Linked DNA regions of Diceros bicornis minor. The protein of the gene in region 1 interacts with the protein of each later gene in a pairwise test. Links are inferred from orthologs where the notes say so. Each region holds a gene or a part of one and is shown on either strand. Other genes may lie near its edges.

Region 1 (7,108 bases):
TAGTTTGCTGACTACTAAGCTTTGAGAAAACCTTTCTTCCTGCTTCCACCTTAACCAGGCCTAACAGATTTTTGCCTCCTGCCCACAACCTTCCTCTCCTATTTCTTGTTCTCCTACATATCTCTGAGGGTACTTATTGACTTGTTGGGAAAGCTAATAAGGGGGAGAGAAGTTGAGTGCATTTTTTTACCCACACATTACATATTTAAATGGTTTTTGTGGATTCCTATATAAATATGAGAAGCTTCTTTCAAATGAATATACTGAATAGACTCTGTCTAGGTGGAGGATGACGCTGCGTGTGTGTGTGTGTGTGTGTGTATGTGTGTAAAACAGCTTAGGACAGACAGAATCATCCCCAGGAAGTTCCTTTATCTTCCCAATGATATTGATATATTGTCTGGAGCCTCTATGTCATTCTTTGTCTCCCAAGATCTCAGGTTAGACTGGTTAGTTCTTTTCGTTGCTCCTGCAAACACCTCCTGAAGTCCACATAACTACTGTTTCAACCTAAGGACTTTCCCAGAGAGTTGTTACCCAACATCTCATAATACTGTTATTAACATGACATTGTTCCAGTTTGTGAAAACTTCTATCTCGATGCCTGTTTATTGGAACCAGAGAGCTCTATCCGCCTATACCTGGAATCTAAGTTAGGCAACTCCAGCAGGCCATCAGGCACTTGCCCAAAGCCCTGGGGGTAACCTGTGTTTTTTGCAGTTTTTCAAGAAGGAAGAATTAGTAGTTTGCAGTGGCCTAAACTTTTGGAAACTATGAATATATATAATGTGTATGATCCACTTTATGTCTCTGACCTCTGGCATGATATACTCAACAACCCTCACCACTTCCTGGGGCCACAGATAATGGGGGAAAGCCAAAAAGAAGATCAGAAACCTAACAGCAAAGAGGCCAAATGTGAGAATCCAAAAACATTTGTGAACGACCCACGTTGTCTCTCTAGCTATTTTCCAAAACCAAATGCTATTTTAAAAAATACATGCTCCACTTTTCCTATTAACTCAGTGCTGAGAACTGAATCTATTTCCATCAATACCAGGACATTCTTTTGTTGCTATTAAGATTCCTATGTTACTTTTCTTCCAAAAGTCTTTCCTATGTGGTCTCTCATTCATCTTTGTGATAAACTTCAAGGTTGAAGATGAAGGAAAGTAGGTGATTATTGGATAGCTTGAAGAAGAAAAGAGAATTTCATTTTTTTTTGGTGAGGAAGACCAGCCCTGAGCTAACATCCGATGCCAATCCTTCTCTTGTTGCTGAGGAAGATTGGCCCTAAGCTAACATCCATGACCATCTTCCTCTACTTTATATGGGACGCTGCGACAGCATGGCTTGACAAGCGGTACGTCAGTGCATGCCCAGGATCCAAACCTGCGAACCCCAGGCCGCGCGAACTTAACCGCTGTGCCACCAGGCCGGCCCCGAGAATTTCATTTTCAAATGGGAAAATTCAGCCCTAGAGAAGCTGAGTAATTTCGTCAAGGTCACAGGGTAAGGTCTGGTGGTGATACCTTTACCCTCTAAGATTTCTTCTTATTTCTGTTATAGTCTATCATTCTAAGATCCTCTCTGCTGCCCTATGAGCAGTGCTTACTATGACATCTCTGTGGCATAAGGGCAGATGCCCACATTGGCCAAGACAAATAAACCCATGTAGGGCCAGCGTCAATGTGACCTCCTTTGTCCCATTGTGAAATCTGAGCTGACTTTGCTGGGGAGTTGAGAGATGAGAGTTTCTCTATTAATACACATATCTACGTGCCAAGCCTTGAAAGCTAAGAATGTGGCATGGGGGAGGAGGTGGGATAGATAAGTGATAGCAATCTGGATTTAGAGTCCCCTCCCTTTGTTCAGGTCCTGGGAAAGATAATTAAATTCCTGGGTTGGGAATGAGACAAAAATCAGAATTCTCCATGTCTTTAAAAAAGAAATTTATGCCATTACAAGGGTATGCCAACATGTGGTTATATGCAAAAATGTATAGGGGCATCTATGTCTGTGTTCTATGAATTTACTTTGTATATGTCCAAGTGTCTTTGGAATTTAGTCATAATAACATGAACATCTGTGTGTGTAGATTAACCCCACCCACCATCTTTCCAATACTCACATCAGCTGCCTTCTTCTCTGCCAGCTCCAGCTTCTCCTGGGCATCCTTCAAAGCTTCAGAATACTTGTCCAGCTCATCTTCTGTCCCTTTCAGCTTCTTCTGCATGGCTGCCAGCTCATCTTCCAGCTATAGGAGCCCCAAGAATCACACACAAAACATACTGTACACAACAGTGCAGGCTCAGACCCTGGGCTCTTAAGACAGACCCCTGAGCCCAACCTTTATGTTACCATCCCCCAGAGAGACATACCTTCTCCCCAGTCACTTCTAGCCAACTGCTCCAGGAGTTATGCTATGTCCTTGGCCTGTGACTCTTTGATATCTGACCCTAAGATGATGACCAAGCCATGCTGGGTTTTCATCTAAGACCCTGGGATGGTAAATATCTCAGGGTGTAGATGCCTGTTACTCCATTTAAGGAAAAAGAGATGTTGCATATCAAGCTCCCACCTTTTCTTCTAGAAATCAGGGATTCTTCCAAAACATGATCCACTCCCACTTAAATCTAGCAGACACTCTGTAGCTCAGAAGGGGCCCTTGACTTTCCAAAGGTCACACAGGCAGTCTGAGGCAGATACACTAGATGTCCTCTGCCCATCCAGTGAGGCTGGGGAAGAAGCAGAGTCCCTCCCACCCAAAGAACAAGCTGGCACCAGTGGTCACTGCCTTTTTGCGTGCAAACCCTCTTTCATCTCACAGTCGTGTTCACCAGCGGCTAAGAGAGACCAACGCCAGGGCCTACCTGTTTACTTCTTTCTTCTGCCTGCTTCTGCTCAGCTTCAGCTTGCTCTGCCCGATCCAGAGCATTCTCCTTGTCCAACTTCAGCATCTGCATCTTTTTCTTGATGGCCTCCATCGTGAGCAGTGGCCGTTGGTGGGCTCACCTGTGAACACTGGAGAACTGGAGACTAGGGCAAGAAAGGAGGGGCTGCTGGCAGAGTGTCTAGGAGTTCCCCAGACTTGAGCCTTTATCTCTGCTCATGGCTCCACCTCTTGTTCCTAATATGGTCTTTCCACCTCCCTCCACCCCATCATTGTTCTCCTGGGGGAATACAGGGTGAGCCACTCCGATGGACTGACATCACCAGCAAAAAAAAAAAAATGGGGGAACAGCTGAGGCTGATTTTAGACAATGGAAAGTGGGGGAGGGGAGAGGCTTTCCCTGACCCTGAAACTTTCCACTTACTCTGGGCAGCTCTATGGGTGTTTTTAAAAAGCAGGGAGAGGGGAGGGGAGAATATTGAAATAGAGAAGGGTACTTTGGCAACTCTAGAATGGTAGTTTTCACTCAGCGGATCCTAGTTGCCCTTCAGCTTCCCCCTTACTCTCACCCGGACTGTGTTGGATGCTGATCAAACTCCACTGGTTGAGTTTTACCTTTTGATTCCTGGTATTCAGGGAGCTTGAGGGACAGTGAGGAGGGGAGGTCACTCATGATCCTTGACAATTCCCCCAGATCTCCAGATCAAATTACTGTGCTATTTTGAGAGTCTCTAATTGGCAGAGAGACATCATTCCTCCCCCTTAAGAGCCACAGGGATGGAGTAAGAGGGTAGGGTTGGGATCTGGAAGGCCATCCCAGAGCTTCAAGAGGGGTGGGGAGAGAAGCAGGGGAGGGTCAGAGTAATCTAGATAGGATCATGTCCTCTGTTTCCCATAGTGATCTTTAAAGAGAACTTCTATATCCACATAGACCAAGGTGTTGCTGTCTTCTCGTCTCCCCACCCTCTGCTCCCTTCTTACCCCCAACCCCCCCACGCTCATCATCATAATCATCATTACCAGCTCTATTCTCCCCTGCTTAGTTCTAGGCCATGTTCATTCTTCTACTTGGGGCCTCATTACTGACAAGTGGCAGTTGATCCCAGTACACTGGCACCATACAATCTGAGAATATGCCAGAGGAGAGGTGGGCACTATTCAAGGTGACCAGAGCTATCAAGGAAGAATATAAATGGATCTAATTAGTCATTATGTCAAGGATAGATGGGTAGTGTTAATACTAAGCCCCAGCAATGGGGTAGCTGAGACACCCACCAGGGCAGAGGGCAAAACTGAAGTCCACTGTTGAGAGCTTCCAGTCACTAGAGGTAGATAGGCAGATACGCCATCAGCTGACTCTTTAAGGAAAGCAGAGAAACCAAAGCCCCCTACTGTGGGACTAGGAACAAGGAAGTCCCAGGGACAGGAAGCAGTGGATAATGGGGGGGGGGGTTTGAATAAGGAGGAGAAAAATACAAGGACAGGAGAAAATCAGAGATATATTCCTTCTAGCATAAGGGAAAGATATAGGAAGATTTGATACTCAAATTCCAGCACTCTCCTGCTCCCACACTAGTCCTCCAGTTTAAGACTGAAATCCTCGTAGGTTGCAGCCACTAGTGTTCCAAAGGGGTCCTGGAAAGAAGAGGTTCAGTAAAAAAGACAGGAGCCCCAGAGCCCTGGAGGTTGAAGTAGTAAAGAGTGTGATGCCAAAGTGCCCACTGCTGTAAGAATATGTTTGACATTTAGTTGGTTCCTAATTAAACAACCCAATATCAAACATATCACACAGAAGCAGGCAGGAGAGCTGTGGTGGTCACCTGCCTTCCCCCCACTGCAAAGAAAGGACAAAGCAGAAACACCAGGCACCAAGCATGGCTAGATGGAGAGCCATCTCCCTGGGGAAGGGCACCAAACCCTGCTCTTTGCCTCCCAAGACAGCTGGCTTTTACTCATCTGCCCTTCGTGCCGTCCCTGTCTCAGCTCCTCTCCTACCAGTGCCTGGCCTTTGCTGGATCACGTTGGCTTAAACCAGGGAGAATATCTGGCAGGGCTTCATGTCCGGGCACCTATCCTTCTTTAAAGCTCCTACACAGAGCTTCTCCCCCTGATGTCACGGCCCCAGCGCCCAGAGGATCAGCAGTGTCAGCAGCTCCTCGTCAGCCTAGCCACCTGCTCTCAACTCCCTTCCAGCTGCCCTGAGGCTTTCTGGGGGTGGGGGTGGGGGGCTTGTCCTCCTGCTTTACCTTTCCAACAGAACTCCTAAGCTTTCCATATCACCCCCACAAGACTGCTGACGGCTTTTCAGTGACACCATCCTGGAACCCTCCTGCTCTTGAGTACTACAGATAAGTAGCCACAAGAAACTTGCAGAATGCTTGGCTGCTGCTTCCCACCATCTTGTCCCTTCTCACCTTCTTCCCATGTCCTCCAGTCATCCTCCTTAAAGTCACCCTTGGATGTCCAGAAGAGAAGAGTGACATGTCTCACTGGCACGCTCCAGAGAAGAAGACTTATGGTCTCCCCTGCCTGGCAGAATTGAAACTAAGACTTGAGGAGATCAAGGGTGAGGGAGGAAACCCCCTGTGCCAGAGAGCAGCCTGCTGTCCTTAGGACTCTCCTCTTCTGGGGCTTTTTACGGCAAGAACTCCTGGGTTGGCTTCTCTAAGAGTCTTCCCTCACAGGGATCCAGCCTGGTTCCTTTCTGAGGGATTTTTCTTCCAAAGAGAATCCGGTTTGTTGAATGTCTTGTGGCAGGCAGATGCTTCTCTCTACTGTGGCAGAAAGGACCCCGGGTTATAGCTGCACTGGTGGGGTGGAGGGCTTGGGTGGAAGTGTGGGGGTGGGAGGAGAATGCTCTGCTTCAGCCCCCAGGCCTGTTCCATGTGTCCTTGTTCCCATTAGTCCAGACACCACCCGCCCCCCCCCACACACACACAAACACATATACCAGCTCCACAGTGCCCTTGATCTAGATCGATAGCTTGTCCCAAGCCTCAGTCAATTCTTGTTGTTTGGCTCTTGCCTTCCAGGGGAAGACTAACAAATGGGCATACAAGCCCCCAAAGTAGGCACCTGTGGTGTTGTCTTATGTCCTTGTTCCTTTATGGCTCTCAATGGGAGTTTGTGTGTAATTTTTACTTTCTTGACCGTCCCTCTTACTTTTACCCCCCAAGTTCTAGTTCCCTTCTCTGGGAACCTTGACTACCTTGGAGAACCAGAGGCTGGAGGGAAAGAGGCTGAGAAAGGGACTAGCAGGAATTGAAAGGACTTTAGTGTTTTTTTTTTTTTTTTTTATAATTTTATTTATTTATTTTCCCCCCAAAGCCCCAGTAGATAGTTGTATGTCACAGCTGCACATCCTTCTAGTTGCTGTATGTGGGACACGGCCTCAGCATGGCTGGAGAAGCGGTGCGTCGGTGCGCACCCGGGATCTGAACCCGGGCCACCAGCAGCAGAGCTCGAGTACTTAACCGCTAAGCCACGGGGCCGGCCCTTAAGGACTTTAGTGTTTAGGGCACTAGGGGAACAGAGGAAGAGACTGGGAATATTGATGTAGGGAGGAGCAGCTTTCTTAGAAGGACACTTTGGATGGCATAACTAGGCAGAAACATCAGATAACCTCTGATGAAAGCTTTCTGGCTATTCTGGAAATACCTTCTATACAGCCATTTCAAACAAGACTAAGCCCTTCTGAGCCAGAGGAGCTGGAGAAGGCACCAGCCACAGAGGGAAAGGGGCTAGATGGGTGTAATAGGGTGAACTACTCAGTTGATGTGATGAGAGCAGACAGAGTAGGCAGAGAGGATCAGAGGACATGGGCTCTGTAGGGGGCCAGTCTGCCAATATTGGAGTCAGCCTGGCACTGACAAGCCCTGGGGACAGAGGCCAAGGTCAGGGATCAAGGCAGAGGGGGTGGGGTGTTCTGTGGGTCCAAGTGAACAGAGGAAAGAGGAATCAAAGGAGTTGGTGAGGGAGTGTGGTGAGAGGTGGGGGGCAGCCATGTAATGGAGAGGAAATAAAAAGGGAAAAAACTATTATAGGGCAGGAAAACATCATTTGGGTTACCATTTATTGGGCATTATGTGCCACCTCTCTGCTAAGTGCTTTACTTAATCCCCACAGCAAGACAGTGAGGTAGGCATTATCTCCATTTTACATATAAGGAACTGTGATCCAGAAAGTTAAAGTAACTTGCTCAAGGCCACACAGACA
Region 2 (8,002 bases), on another chromosome or scaffold:
GTCCACGTTCACCATGCTCAGGATGCGGCTGCAGAAGACCCTTGAGGCCGAGTCCGGGGTGTCCATCTCTTCCTCCTCCTCCGCTGCCTGAAACAGGCAAGAAGAAAGAGTCTTCAGTCTGCACCAGGCACCAGGAGTTGGGACAGAGAGGAGGGGCTGGGAACCGCAAAGGCTGTTTGAACATGAGTCGGTCACGCCACCTGAGCCTCAGCTTTGTCACCTGGGAATTCGGGGGTGTTCTGAGAACTACAGGAGACCATACTTATAACTTGCACCCCAGCACATGAGAACCCCTTAGTCCCTCCCACCTCCATGGCTCCCACTCTCCATGTGCCCGAGGCCAGGGGAAATTTCCACCTGCATAGATCTGCCAGCCACCTCCCACATCCCCCTGCCTTGGCCCACTCCCACCACAGGGCCTTTGCACCTGCTGTCCCCACCGGTAGCACATGCATGGCTGCCCCCTCAAATCATCAGCACCTCCAATGTCTTCTCTCCCGAGGTCTTTGATGATACCCCGAGGTCTTTGATGATACCCCAACTCTGGTCACTCTTATCACTCTGCCTTGTTTTAACTGCTTCACTGCCACACCTCTTCCTGAAATTATCTCAGTTGTCAGTTGATCTGTTTGCCTGTCATCCCCACAGCAGTGTCAGCTCCAAGAGAGCAGAGACTTGTCTCTCTCCCTTGCTGCTCTGCTCCAGAACGTGGCTCATAGCAAGGGATGGCCAGAACTTTGGCGGAGGCTGACAGAACCTTTCAAACTCAGCCCTGATGCTAGACTTTTATTAGCAAATTAAAGCCAAGAATTTCAGGCACTCAGAGCCAGGCTGCGGGCCCCAGGTCCCCGGCACCCAGGTGACCATTCTGGTGGGTGGGGGCTTCCTTGACCATGCCAGGGCAGGAGGGGCCACAGCTTCAGCACTGACCCTCCTGGTTGGGGGGAGGGTTCAGGAGAAACCCAGAATCCTGACATAGTTTGATTCTGGCGTCCACACATTTAATGGCTGACAGAAAGGCCCACTTGTGACTGGTGAGAATTCACACACAGGATTAGCAAGGTCTTTCAGAGCTCACTTGATCCACCCTCCTCTTTACAAGGCACTAACGTCATACACCAGGAACTGTTATCATCCTTGTTTATATATGAGAACACTGAGGCTCAGGGACTGAGGAACGGGGCCACTGTCACACAGCCAGAGAACCTGAGTCACAATTCACATGCCCATGCTCTGCAGGATCCACAGAGGTGTGAATCTGAACAGGTGTTCATTATCCACCCATGACGGGACAGCTGCTGCTCTAAGCAGCTGATTCCTGCCAGACTTCTGATTTTTTCCAGGCAAAAAACAGAAATACGGGTTTTTTTTCCTGTGAAATCGCCTCATTTACAAATGTCAGCAACCAATATTTTTTCCCCCCCAAACACCATGTAGTCAAGTGTTATCTATTTGAGCCCTGAATCTGGCTAGCGATTTGCAGCCCCTACATGCCTTCTAGAAATAAGCTGCCATACCTGGTGAAACTCTCCTCATCCAATTATCGCCATGTTTATTGAGCTCCCACTATGTGCCAGGTCTGGACACTCACAGTCTCCGATTTTTGAAGAAGCATGATCATGTATAAACAGGACACTTGCGCTCAAAGGGCAGTCATGTGGCAGGACCCACAGCCAGAGCCTGACAGGTTCAGGGTTCTGGACCAGTGGGAAACCATTCTGCTGCAAAGTACAGCTCTTTCTCATCTCCAGCTGCCAGATATGAGGGCTGAAGGATTCAGGGCACACTCCCCACTACCCTAGCTGTCTCCCTCAGGAAGCCTTCCCTGACTAACAGCTAGTCTGGCCCACACACAGGGTGGAAATGACCCAGCAAGGGCTCTGGCTCCTGCTCCAAATACCTTTATGAGGGAAACACACAGACAGGGAGGCTGTGTGACCTTGGAAGAATCACCTCACCTCCCTGAATCGGTTTTCTCACCCAGAAAATGGGAATAACAAAGAATCAGCACTTCACAGCGCTATCTGTGGGGACTGAAGCCAATTGTGATAAGGATCTGGGCTGTTTCTTCAAAGGGAGTGGGAAGAAGTCCTAGGGCGGGGCTCAGGAATCAGCTTTATTTTTGAGGAAGATCAGCCCTGAGCTAACATCTGCCAATCCTCCTCTTTTGGCTGAGGCAGACTGGCCCTGAGCTAACATCCCAGCTCATCTTCCTCCACTTTATATGGGACGCCAGCACAGCATGGCTTGACAAGCCCTGCGTTGGTGCTCGCCCGGGATCCGAACCGCGCGCACCCAACCGCCTGCGCCACCGGGCCAGCCCCAGGAATCAACATTTTAACAAGGGCTTCCCCGGTGCTTCCAAGAATATGAGCAAACACTTGAATAGCACTTCATTTAATCCCCAACCCTCCCTATGAGGCAGACACTATCATCTCCGAAGGCAGCTAAGGCTCACAGAGGTGGACTCAGCTGCCCAAGGTCACATGGCAAGGCGGAGAGGCGCCGCCATTCCACCCAAGTCCTTAACAGAATTTAACTTGGTGGCACAAGCTCAGCAAAACGAGCGCGGAGGGGCTCGCATATCCCCTCACGCCCCGCCCCTGCAAAGTGGGGAAACAGGCCCAAGCAGACCAACGCCCGGTTCCGGGTAACAACACAGCACAGCCTGAACACAAGCGGCCCAAACTCCCGTGCCCCGGATCCGGCCCGCGGCTCCGCCCGCGCGTCCACTGCGCAGACAGGGAAACCGAGACCTGTGCGCAGGAGGGGTGCCCAGATGTGGCCAGCGGCGCGCCCCACCCCACAACAGCCCGGGGACTACACCCGACCCGGCCCGGCCCGGCTCCCCAGCGGCCTCGGCGGCCCCAGCCCCACCCCGAACTCGGCACCAGCGTCGGTGGCAGCGGCACCTGCACATCTGGCGGCCTTGCTCGCGCTTCCGGGATGGCGCCCGAGCCTCCGCGACGTCACCACGCACCATGCGTGCGAGCGCGGGTGGCGGAGACGTACCCGGGGCCGACTGGCGTGCGTGGAGGCGCGGCAGGAAGGGGTGGGGCTTAGACGCAACTCCTGTTCCCGTGTGCGCCACAACAAATAGCCAATCGAGCAGTCCCTCTCGCGCCTGCGTAGTTTCCTAAGCCCGGGCTCCCTGGCAGTCCGGAAGTGGGTGGTGGAGGCTGGGAGACGTCCTGTTTTATACATGGTCAAACTGAGGTCCGAGAGCGGCAGGCGCTTCCGCAAGGTCATATAATGCTTCAGTGGCCTGCGGTCGACCCAGACCCAGGTGTCTTGCTTTCCAGGCTGGGAATCAGATTCATCTGGGTTCAAAAATCCCTGCGTCGCTTTTGGTGACCTTTTTCTAGTCCAGGATCCCATCCAGGATCCCACGTTGCATTTAGTCGTGTCTCCGTAGTCTCTTCCACTCTGTGACAGTTCCTCAGTCTTTCCTAAATTTTCATGACCTTAATGCTTTTGAAGAGTACTGGTTTTGTAGAATACTCATCAATATGGGTTTATCCAGTGTTTCCTCATGATTAGACTGAAGTTGAGCAGTTTGGGCAGGAATCCCACAGAAGCGATGTTGTGTCCTCCATGCATGGTATCAGGAAGCACGGGATGTTGATGTGTCTCGTTATTGGTGATGTTGACTTTGATTACTTGCTTAAGGCAGTGTCTGCCAGTTTCTCAACTGTCCAGTTACTATTTTCCCTTTTATAATTAATAGGTATCTTGTGGAGAGATACTTAAGAGCCCATACAAATACCCTAGTTTTGGGGGTTTTTTTAAACATATTTTTCACCCACTAGTTTTAGCATCCATCTGTGGCTCTTGCCAGCAACAATGATTACTATCGTGTTTGCATAATGGTGATTTTTTTTTTATAATTTTTTTTTAATTTATTTTTTCCCCCCAAAGCCCCAGTAGATAGTTGTATGTCACTGCTGCACATCCTTCTAGTTGCTGTATGTGGGACGCGGCCTCAGCATGGCCAGAGAAGCGGTCCGTCGGTGCGCGCCTGGGATCCAAACCCCGGGCTGCCAGCAGCGGAGCACGTGCACCCAACCGCTAAGCCACGGGGCCGGCCCTTTTTTAATTTTTTTTTTAATTTATTTTTTTCTGGTGATTTTCTGTTTATTAATTTAATTATTAATTGGAATTCTACTGTAAACAAGAGCTGTCCATTCTCCAATTATGGATTTATTCAAGTATTTGTATCACTATGAACTTATGAATATTTATTTTATTCTGTGGATTATAGTTAACTTCTTTTCTTTTTTCCTTTTTTTTTTTTTTTTTGCTGGTAACATCCACTGCCAATCTTCCTCTTTTTGTATGTGAGCCACTGCCACAGCACGGCCACTGACAGACGAGTGATGTAGGTCCACACCCAGGAACTGAACTTGGGCCACTGAAGCAGAGCCTGCCGAACTTCACCACTAGGCCACCAGGGCTGGCCCAATTTCTATATTATTTATTTTTCTGCCTCTTTAAGTTAGCCCCTATGTCATTTTAATATGTCTGCACCTTTCTCTGAGCACTTCCTTACTTTTGGCACCACAAGATGTTCCATGCTTGCTTTGGAATATCTCTGGAGTCAGCCATTTCTCCAAAGAGCCTGGTACCTTTTCTTGGAGAATAGGATTTAGAAACCAAGATCTCGGGCCAGCCCCGTGGCTTAGCGGTTAAGTGCACGCGCTCCGCTGCTGGCGGCCCGGGTTCGGATCCCGGGCGCGCACAGACGCACCGCTTCTCCGGCCATGCTGGGGCCGCGTCCCACATACAGCAACTAGAAGGCTGTGCAACTATGACATACAACTATCTACTGGGGCTTTGGGGGGAAAATAAATAAATAAAATCTTTAAAATAAATAAATAAATAAAAGAAACCAAGATCTGGGTGCTGGCCATGCTCACTGCCACTGGGCTATCATTGCTTAGAGACCCTCTCAGCAGTCAGAGTTAGCAAATACATGTATGCCTGCTAACCCATGCACACACATTTATATTTACTTCTATATCTGTCTCCTTGTATATAAACTGAAAACTGTGAGTTCATACTGATATGAGGATGCATTTTTAAGTGAAGTAATCCAAGTTAAATGCAAGAACAAAATGGGGCAAATAGTAATTGCTCAATAAATGTTAATTAATTACCATTAGTTATTGAGGTCTTTTTATTTATTTATTTATTTTTGTGTGAGGAGATCAGCCCTGAGCTAACATCTGCCAATCCTCTTCTTTTTTGCTGAGGAAGACTGGCCCTGGGCTAACATCCATGCCCATCTTCTTCTACTGTATATGGGACGCCGCCACAGCATGGCTTAACAAGCAGTGCGTTGGTGCGTGCCTGGGATCCAAACCGGCGAACCCTGGGCCGCCGCAGCGGAACGCGTGCACTTAACCGCTTGCGCCACCGGGCCGGCCCCAGTTGTTGAGGTCTTATGATGTGTATATGTTATATATTGTATGTCTAATTTTTCTGGGTCTCAGTTTGTTAACTGGGTGATCACAGCATCTGCCTTTTAAGGTCGTTGAGAGCTTGGGAGATATTGAGAGCTTGGGAGATGCACACATGCTCTTAGGCACATGGAAGACTCTTTAAGAGTCCTGGAATTGGACATATGTGAGTTCTGATTCCAGTTCTGTCACATCCTAGCTGGGTGGCCTTGGGCAAGTGGTTTAACCTTATGAAATCATGCAGGTTAATTCCTTACAACAAGTCTTGGCCCACTGTAAGCCCTCGGTAAACCGAGGGTAGACTGTATTATTACTGCCACACTCTGCTGCCTTCATTCATTGAAAAGTTAATGAAGACCAGGATTCTTATATAGTCAGTTCAACAAACAGTTTTAAAAATTGTTCAGTAAACTCTCTAGCCACCCTTTCTAGGAGTGGCCCATATTCTGGGCATCCAGAGAGTACTCAATTCATGCCTAGCCCTGGAGGATGGAGACAGAGTCTGACACAGACACTCCCATCCCTAGGGGAACAGTGCTGGGCTAGAGGGAGGAGAGACTCAAGACTGAAGGAACCTGAAGAATGGGGTATGAGGACTCGTTTTGGGGACAAGGAATCAGGTACATCTGGATGGTTTTTTTGTGTGTGTGTGAAGAAGACCAGCCCTGAGCTAACATCCGATGCCAATCCTCCTTTGTTTTGCTGAGGAAGACTGGCTTTGGACTAACATCCGTGCCCGTCTTCCTCTACTTTACATGGGACGCCGCCACAGCATGGCTTAACAAGCAGTGTGTTGGTGTGCGCCCGGGATCCGAACCGGTGAACCCGGGGCTGCCACAGCGGAGCACATGCACTTAACTGCTTGCGTCACCAGGCTGGCCCCTGGATGGGGTTTTGAGGTAGGATTAGGAGTTTTCTAGGTGCTGACAACCATTCAGGACTGAGGGAATCACAGGAGCAAAGACAGGATGGTGGGAAAGCACATATCATGGACTCTATCTTTGTAAAAATTGTGGAGCTCAGTAAGCCAGGCGGCAGCCACTGCTGAGCGAGGAGCCGGGGCGGAGGCTGCTGGGAAAAGTGGAACCACAGCTCTGTCTGCAGGCTGCAGCAGAAGAGGCCCAAGCTGGAGAAATCAAGCTTTTTGATGGGTCCCTTGGGCTCTGTTGGAGGCCAGGAAACATTTACAAGGGTCCTGGAAGGGGTGGGGGTTGCACATCGGGCCAAAAGGGACTTGGCTGGCCTCAGATGTTTTGTGCACAGTGGAGTGGAGACAAGAAAATATTTCCCTCCTTTGTGTGTTCAAGGGAGAGGGTTGGAAGTGATGGGAACACTCAGTCAGCTCAGTGATGGGGCCACTGGTCTGGGGAAGGCCTAAGTCTGGGGACTGGAAGCCTTTCTTTTCAATTTTTTTGCCACTTCTTTTTCCTACATAACACTCATCACAGCTGCAAATTAGATACTTAACTGCATCATTCTTTGTGCAATATCCAGCTCCTTGGCTGGAATAAAAGCTCGGTAATGGAAGATACCTAACCCATACTGCCCTTCATCACTGTGACCTTGAACAAGGTAATTACCTTCTCTGTGCCTCAGTTTCCCCATCTGCAATATAAGGATAACCTTACCAAAACACATGCACCCAGTCCTAAAGAAAGCAAGAAAGCAGAGAGAAGAGCATAGAGCAGGTAGGACAGAGAAAAAAACACACAAGATGGCATATTTTAAGTCCAAATAGGTCCATAATTACATTAAATGTAAAATACACCAAATGCACCAATTAAAAGACAAAGATGGGGGTCTGGCCCGGTGGCGTAGCGTTTAAGTTTGCGTGCCCCACTTTGGTGACCCAGGGTTTGCAGGTTCAGATCCTGGGCGCGGACCTGCACACTGCTCATCAAGCCATGCTGAGGCGGCGTCCCACATGGAGCAACTAGAAGGATGTACAACTACAACTATCTACTGGGGCTTTGGGGAGACAAAAGGAAAAACGGAGGAAGATTGGCAACATATGTTAGCTCAGGGCCAATGTTCCTAAAAAAAAAAAAAAAATTTCCTCCTTCGTTTAAAAAGAAAAAAGACAAAGATGGGCAGACTAGACCAAAGAGCAAAACTCAACTCGATGCTGCTTATAGGAGACACATGTACAACATGAGGATACAGAAAGGTGGAAGATAAAGGGTGGAGCATTTAAAACAGGAACCAGGGGCCAGCCCGGTGGCGCAAGCCGTTAAGTGCGTGCGCTCCGCTGCAGCAGCCCGGGGTTCGCCGGTTCGGATCCCGGGCGCGCACTGATGCACTGCTTGGCAAGCCATGCTGTGGCGGTGTCCCATATAAAGTGGAGGAAAATGGGCACAGATGTTAGTCCAGGGCCAGTCTTCCTCAGCAAAAAAAAAAAAAAAAAAAAAAAACAGGAGGATTGGCAGATGTTAGCACAGGGCTGATCTCCTCACACACAAAAAAAACAGGAACCAAAGGAAAGCAGGTGTGCGACCTTAACACCAGACAAAGTCCACTCTAAGGCAGGAAGCATGGAGATAAAA
Region 3 (7,544 bases), on another chromosome or scaffold:
ATGGCTTTGTTACAATTTTAGTGTGCTTTTAAATATTTTCAGATGCCAAGTATTTGGTTTTTATTTGGAAAATGCTTGCAAATGTCTTACCAGAATAATTTTTTATTCCCAAATTTACCATGAGTAAATATTTGCTATAAACAGCAACCAAAGTATTTACACTTCGACTCTTACGGCAAAAGATTTCACAAGAACAATTAACAGGCAACTATTTTAATAACAATCATACAATCTGTCCATTTTAGAAATAATCTTTTTTTTTTTTTTAAAGATTTTATTTATTTATTTTTTCCCCCCAAAGCCCCAGTAGATAGTTATATGTCATAGCTACACATCCTTCTAGTTGCTGTATGTGGGACGCGGCCTTAGCATGGTGGGAGAAGCAGTGGGCGCCCAGGATCAGAACCGGGGCCGCCAGCAGCGGAGCCTGCGCACTTAACCACTAAGCCACGGGGCCAGCCCCATAAAAATAATCTTTGACTAAATATTGTTTTATTATTTTGGAGACAGTTCAAATAAAATCTTCTTAATGAATGTAACTTGTTTGTGTCTTTATTGTAGGCACTAACAGTAAATTCCTGAGTTGAAGCTCTACTTTTCAAGTTTTTTTCCTTTATAGATTCCTATTAGTGTGTTTTCCCATGGCAGTAACTAAATCATTGAAAAGCTGAACATTTTGTGATGTAATTTACCTCACATGAATATGTATCTTTGGATAATTAATTAGAATTAGTAAATTTAGTAACTAAAACCAGTTGTATTAGGCTCCAGAGAGAAGCAACATATGTCTTTTAGCCTACTAAGTTCTATTACGGGAAACTTTTTCAATACAAAATGGGTTTTTTATTTACCTAAAGAAGGTCATGCATTTTAAGACATAAGAGCAGTTTATTTTTATTTTTGTGAGGAAGATCAGCCCTGAGCTAACATCCATGCTAATTCTCCTCTTTTTGCTGAGGAAGACCGGCTCTGAGCTAACATCTATTGCCAATCCTCCTCCTTTTTTCTTCCCCCAAAGCCCCAGTAGATAGTTGTATGTCATAGCTGCACGTCCTTCTAGTTGCTGTATGTGGGACGTGGCCTCAGCATGGCCAGAGAAGCGGTGCCTCGGTGCGCGCCCGGGACCAAACCCGGGCGACCAGTAGCGGAGCACGCGCACTTAACGGCTAAGCCACGGGGCTGGCCCAGAGCAGTTTATTTTTAAAACAGTAAATCCAGTGCATTTATTTTTTTAAGATCAAAATAAAAACATCCCATAAACAAAAATACCATATTACTAAAATAAACAATTTATCTTTTTTGAAGAGGATATTTAAATCAACTTTTCAGTTCATTGTGGCAAATCTTTTATTAACTTCGACTCAGGATAAGTCAGCAGTAAAGTATAATTCAGAATTTACTAACATCTGGGCCAGCCCGTGCCTTAGTGGTTAAGTGCCCGAGCTCCGCTGCCGGTGGCCTGGGTTCAGATCCGGGTGCTCACCAACGCACTGCTTCTCCGGCCATGCTGAGGCCGCGTCCCACATACAGCAACTAGAAGGATGTGCAGCTATGACATACAACTATCTACTGGGGCTTTGGGGGAAAAATAAAAAAAAAAAAAAAAAGAATTTACTAGCATCAAAAATGTTGCAGACTAGAAGATGTCCAGGGTTCCTTCTGGAATACCATTACTCTTGAAGACAAATAACTATCTTCTAAATACTTTAAAAACAGGTAAAAAAAAAAATGGAGAATTCTAATTTAAAGCATCAGTCTTGTTATTAAAATGAAATAGGTTATTCCTAAAGAAAACGATTGGGGAAAACAAAATGAATAAGTTGGTTTTAAGGTTATTTCTAATATTCATTTGTCCTATGACCCCAAAATATCGCTATTTGCTTGGTTTAAAAACTATAAATGTTTAGTTTTAGGTGAACCCAAGTGCTATATACTTTTGTAGCGTTACAGTACTAAAATTCAGTCTGTAATTTAGGAAGAGACTTTAAATTCATAACGCATGCACACTGATCCTCCCAACTTTGATATTATCACAAACGTTTGTTGCTCTGAAATCATAATGAATTCTTTGAAGGTTGCAAACGTTTCCATTAGGCATTTACGGGGTGGGGTGGGGCAAATCTGTCCCGGACAGATGCACAGCGGACAGGAAGTAACGGGTTATAAAAACGCGAAAGCTCCCGACGTGTAGTTGGCGCTTAATAAAGTTTGGCCGAATCCGCATCTCTTAATGGCTGACTCCTCCCCAAACCTTAGCCTCAATTCCAGTTGAGCGATCGCGGCACGATACTAGTACAAGGGAAAAATGAGTTACAAGAAATGAGATAACGGAAAAAAAAAAAAAGTTGGGCTGGCTGTCCCTTCTCTGGGGTGGCGGCAGATGAACCAAAGTCACAAGTCTCGGGGTTGAAGGTTACGGGATGCCGAGTCGGGTGGGGCCACGACAGGGACTGGACCCCGAAGGGCGGGCGACCACCGGAGGCCGGACACTTACCAGGCCAGGGCCAGGCACGTCCCCAGCGACAGCAGGCTCAGGCCGGTCCGGGGGTCCGCCCAGCCCCCGCCTCCACCACCTCGGGCCTCGGGGCTCCTCCCGCCCTCGCTCCGCTTCCCGGGCTCCGCGGGGGCTCCCTTGGGTCCCGACTTCTTCCGGCTCTTCACCTCGGACATGTCTGGAGGTCCTGAGGACGACAAACCCGGGCGGCCTCTTCACCCTGGGGGAGCGGGACGTGGCCGCCTGAGCTCCGAGGGAAGCCTCGGCGGTGACCGCGCCCCCTCTCGGACTTGGCGCCGCCCGGAAACCAGTGCCAGTGCCCTCCCTCTCCCGGCCATCTTCACTGCTTCACAGCGCACCCCAGCCACCCGCCTTCCAGTTCCTCCAGCTGAGGCAGGCGCAGACCCCACCCCCCGCTTTCTCTGCGCTCACCTAGCAAACCTGAGGAAATCGTAGCTCCCGGGCGCGTGCGGGCCGCCGGGACGCGAGGGGGCGGGGCGGGGCGGGCCCGCGCCACGTCGAGCGCGCCGCCGCCGAGGCCCTCCCTCCCTCAGACCGCCGCGCGCCCTTGTGGCTTAGCCACGCCCCCGGCTGTGGGGTGGGGCGGAGGGCGCTCCCTGTGCGCGCGCGGGCACAAGCCGGAGCGGGTGCGCGCGCGGCGGCGGCCGCCCGGAGTGGCTCGGCGTGTATTTATTTGCATGCGCGGGCGCGCGCTGTCCGGGCTGGGCGGGCCCGGCGGGGTTTGACTGCTCCGCGGTTCTGAGACGGAGAGGCGACGGTATTAAGTGGACGCGGGTGCTCTATTCCTGGGCCGAAGGAGGGAGGGAGCAGGCGGTGAGGAAGTCTGGGCCGACAGCACACCGCGAGGACTTGGAAGTCGCCGCGGCAGCGTCCCGACTGGCCGGGGTGCAGCTGCGGCCGGAGTGAAGGAGCGACAAGCCGAGTGGCCCTCCTCTCTTTGTGTCGGGGGTGGGGTCCGCCGAGAAGGCAGCCCTCGGGCCGGGCCGCATCTCGGCGCGCCGGGAGTGTGTGGTCAGCCCAGGGAGGTGACGCCTACCTCCACCGGCCGGAGGTCTCCGGGGGTCTTCAGGCGCCCGGGACGGCGGAGGCCCGGGTGCAGCCCCTGTGAGGCCCGGATTTGTCCCGGGGCTGCGCCCCGAGCCCTGTATTCTCTTTCGGAAGGCCCGATGCCTTTTCCTCCCCAACCTTGGTTTCTCAGTCTGTCTCCGAAGGGCTGCTCTTGCCAGTAAGACCCTGGTGCGGAGGTTTGGGTAAGTTTGCGCCTTGCTTTTCTCCCCGAGCTGGTTGCTTCAGAGGTTCAATAGCCGATTTCAGGGACTCAATTCTGGGACAAAGTGTAATTGATAACCATCCTACTCCTGTACCAGGAAGAGAAATTATCTAAGGAGGAAGTAGTCTAAACTATTACGGTTTTCCCGGATGAAATTGCCCTTCCTTTCCATTTTACAATGAAGAGTTTTGACTTCCCATTTTGGTGTGCTTGCGAAAGGTGGGACACTGAGAATTTGTTCAGAATATTTGTGCAGAGTTTAAAAACGTGCTGAAAATTTACGTATTTTTAATAGGGCTAGGTCAAGTTGGAAATTAGTTTCAGATTGTCAAAATGTCTATTTTCTTAGCTATTGGACATAGACTACAAAATTCATTTTTGTTTTGTCAAATCGAGTGTTATTAAAAATTAAGGGATGTTTTATGTTTAAATTGAGAGCATAAAAACGTTATTAACATTTAAAAAGTACGATAGCTTTGATTCTAATCATAAATTTTTCTTTTATCAATCAGTATCATGCCAGTACTGGGCGTTTTGTGAACCTTGATAAGCATAGGCAAATGCTCTACTTCCCTATGTTTTCAAGTGCCTTGGTGGCACTTAAAAAATATATAGTTATCATTGAAGCTTAATGATTATTGCTCCTCTTCTGTGCAATCTAAAATTACTTGTGGTTATCTCTATTTTTTCACTTAGGACATCACATTCTGATTATCTCTTTATATTTCTCTCCCACTAGATTGTGAATTCCTTCAGGGATATGATTTAATCTTCTCTATAGACTCAGGGCCTGGCATGTAGGAGGGGCTCAAATGTTTATTGAATGAATAAATTTTTTTTGTGTGTGAGGAAGGTTAGCCCTGAGCTAACATCTGATGCGAATCCTCCTCTTTTTGCTGAGGAAGATGGGCCTGGGCTAACATCCGTGCCCATCTTCCTCTACTTTATATGGGACGCCGCCACAGCATGGCTTGACAAGTGGTGCGTTGGTGCGCGCCCGGGATCCTAACCTGCGAACCCCGGGCTGCCAAAGCGGGGGGTTTGAACTTAACCACTATGCCACCGGGCTGGTCCCTGAATGAATAAATTAATAAACACATTTAGACACTCACTATAATACATTGGATAGAGTTCTGTTAATATTTCTAAAACTTGCAAACATTCTGATCTACGTTTTATACCAATGGAAAAATTTGCACTATATTTTTGAGATAAAGTTGGTAGAAGCTTAGCGTATTATACTATAAAGAATATTGTTCTTTCTTTGTGTCCTCTTTGTTCAAGAAATGACATCAGAGGGTATTTTCTGTTGCTTTGTCATACTTAGCAGCTCAGCTGAAACATTAGCGGAGTGAGCATGTGAGAAATGTGTTTACCACTGAAGACCTAGCACTGACACCCACCTTGAGCGAGAACTAATGCTCAATACCAACAATGCTCTATTTAGTCTTATATTGGATAAAGAAAACAAGAAGTTTCTAAGCATTAGGACTTCAGTATGGCCGCCGTTTAAAAATCTTTTTTTTTTTTTAAGATTTTATTTATTCATTTTTTCCCCCCCAAAGCCCCAGTAGATAGTTGTATGTCATAGGTTCACATCCTTCTAGTTGTTGTACGTGGGACTCGGCCTCGGGTTGGACGGAGAAGTGGTGCCTGGGGGCGTGCCCGGTTCGGAGCGGTGCCTGGGGGCGTGCCCGGGATCCGAACCCGGGCCGCCAGCATCAGAGCGCGTTCACTTAACCGCTAAGCCACGGAGCCGGCCCCGTTTAAAAATCTTAACTTAAAAGAAGTTTTTTTATTGTAAAAATGATGATGTGTATTGAAAAAAATTAAGACAATGTAGAAAAGTACAAAAAAGAAAGAGGGAAAAAAAACCCAAATCTTGCCTCTTGGAAGTAACCCAAACCTTTTTTGAACAAACTTCTAGACATCTCCCTATGTTTTATATGATACCAACACATATTTTGTGCTATATATGGGATCTTATTTCTAATTTTTTGTCAGCAGTGTCTCATAGCGTCTTTCCATGTCAGTACATGGAGATGTGTCTTATCATTTTAAATGGCTGTGTAATATTCCATTTTATGTACATACTCTAATTTTTTAAATCCATACTTAGAATGATGGCCATTTAGGTTGTTTTCATCTTTTTTTCTCACCTAAACACACTCTGTTAACTCTTCTTGTGCATATTTTTGCATACAAATGTGAATGTCTCCTTGAGATAAATTCCTAGAAGTGGGGTTTCTGGGTTAAAGAGAATGCTTACTTTAAACACTTCTGTATTTTATCATATGGCCTTCCAGAAAAGTTGCATCCATTTAGTACTCTCCTCAAGTAGTGCCTAAAAATACCTATTTTCTCACATCTTTGAAAGCATTTTGTTTTGTCCATTTAAAAAAAATCTTTGCAAAAAAAAAATCTTATTTTCTCTACATTTCTTGATTATCAGTGAGGTTACACGTCTTTTCATATCTTTATTGTCCTGACAAATATTTTGATGTTTTGCCTGTAGCTCATGGTTGACAGCTCAGAGAGAGAAAAATTTAAAGGAGGATGGATGCAAAAGCTCGAAATTGTTTGCTTCAACATAGAGAAGCCCTGGAAAAGGACATTAAAACCTCCTACATCATGGATCACATGATTAGTGATGGAGTTTTAACAGTATCGGAGGAGGAAAAAGTGAAAAATGAGGTAAAGCCCTCTGAGGCAGTCTATGTTTTCTTTTTTTTTTAATTTAATTTTTTTAAGTTAAATTGTGCAAATTTGCACATTCATTTTACTTGTTTTTTTTTTTTTTGAGGAAGATTGGTCCTGAGCTAACATCTGTTGCCAATCTTCCTCTTTTTCCTTTTTCTCCCCAAAGCCCCAGTATGTAGTTATATGTCATGCTTGTAGAGTTGTAGCTCTTCTATGTGAGATGGTGCCTCAGCATGGCTTGATGGGTGGTGAGCAGGTCCATGCCCAAGATCCGAACTGGTGCATCCCAGGCTGCCGAAGCGGAACGCACAAACTCAACCACTACGCCACTGGGCTGGCCTCTAATCTTCCTCTTTTTGCTTAAGGAAGATTGTCGCTGAGCTAACATCTATGCCAGTCTTCCTCTACTTTGTATGTGGGATGCTGCCACAACATGACTTGATGAGTGGTGTGTAGGTCCGCACCCAGGATCCGAACCTGTGAACCCTGGGCCGCCGAAGTGGAGCATGTGAACTTAACCACTACACCACTGGGTTGGCCCCTCTGTGCTTTCTTAAAAATTTTTAGAATTTATTTCAGAACTTGTGCTGGTCTCCACTAATTTATGTTGCAAACATATTCTTTGTAGTATACTAAACTGCTTTTTATTTATTTATTTTTTTCAGCCCACTCGACAACAAAAAGCAGCTATGTTAATTAAACTGATACTTAAAAAAGATAATTATTCCTACATATCATTCTACAAGGCTCTACTACATGAAGGGTATAAAGATCTTGCTGCCCGTCTCCATGGTGGCATTCCTGTTATCTCTTCTTCCAACGGCAAAGATTCAGTTGGTGGAATAACTTCATATGGTTTGTACCCATGGTACCTTCTATCACAGTGGCTACCTTGCCGCAGCGTTGTCTTATTGTAGATGGAGTCTGCTGAAGAGACTGATTAGTTCATTGAAAAATGCATGTGAAAAAATTATAGTTATGTTTTCCAATTTAAATATTTTTATTTGCATCTCTGTTTACTCCCACATTTTCTTCTTGTGCAGTGAACTCTACTGCTGA

The links. The genes of interacting proteins can lie anywhere in the genome.
Region 2: the proteins of TPM3 (region 1) and KXD1 interact in binary tests that used the Homo sapiens proteins (3 or more experiments, as listed by UniProt). The two-hybrid records come from large-scale screens. The link is inferred for Diceros bicornis minor from reciprocal best matches to the Homo sapiens genes TPM3 and KXD1.
Region 3: the proteins of TPM3 (region 1) and IKBIP interact in a two-hybrid assay, tested with the Homo sapiens proteins (2 studies listed by BioGRID). The two-hybrid records come from large-scale screens. The link is inferred for Diceros bicornis minor from reciprocal best matches to the Homo sapiens genes TPM3 and IKBIP.

What each region holds. Positions count from the first base shown.
Region 1 is NC_080743.1:58,274,206-58,281,313, forward strand, and holds the start of TPM3 (tropomyosin alpha-3 chain), read right to left. Parts: upstream 3,003-7,108; 5' UTR 2,988-3,002; coding exon 2,874-2,987; intron 2,258-2,873; coding exon 2,132-2,257; intron 1-2,131. UniProt on the Homo sapiens protein: Binds to actin filaments in muscle and non-muscle cells. Plays a central role, in association with the troponin complex, in the calcium dependent regulation of vertebrate striated muscle contraction.
Region 2 is NC_080759.1:6,173,694-6,181,695, reverse strand, and holds the start of KXD1 (kxDL motif-containing protein 1), read right to left. Parts: upstream 3,006-8,002; 5' UTR 2,913-3,005; exon of another isoform or gene 2,878-2,912; intron 2,763-2,877; exon of another isoform or gene 1,518-2,762; intron 88-1,517; 5' UTR 67-87; coding exon 1-66.
Region 3 is NC_080764.1:24,197,636-24,205,179, reverse strand, and holds the start of IKBIP (inhibitor of nuclear factor kappa-B kinase-interacting protein), read right to left. Parts: upstream 3,006-7,544; 5' UTR 2,927-3,005; intron 2,759-2,926; exon of another isoform or gene 2,682-2,758; 5' UTR 2,671-2,681; coding exon 2,495-2,670; intron 1-2,494. Other genes in the region: APAF1 (apoptotic protease-activating factor 1), read left to right, coding at 6,342-6,479, 7,151-7,340. UniProt on the Homo sapiens protein: Target of p53/TP53 with pro-apoptotic function.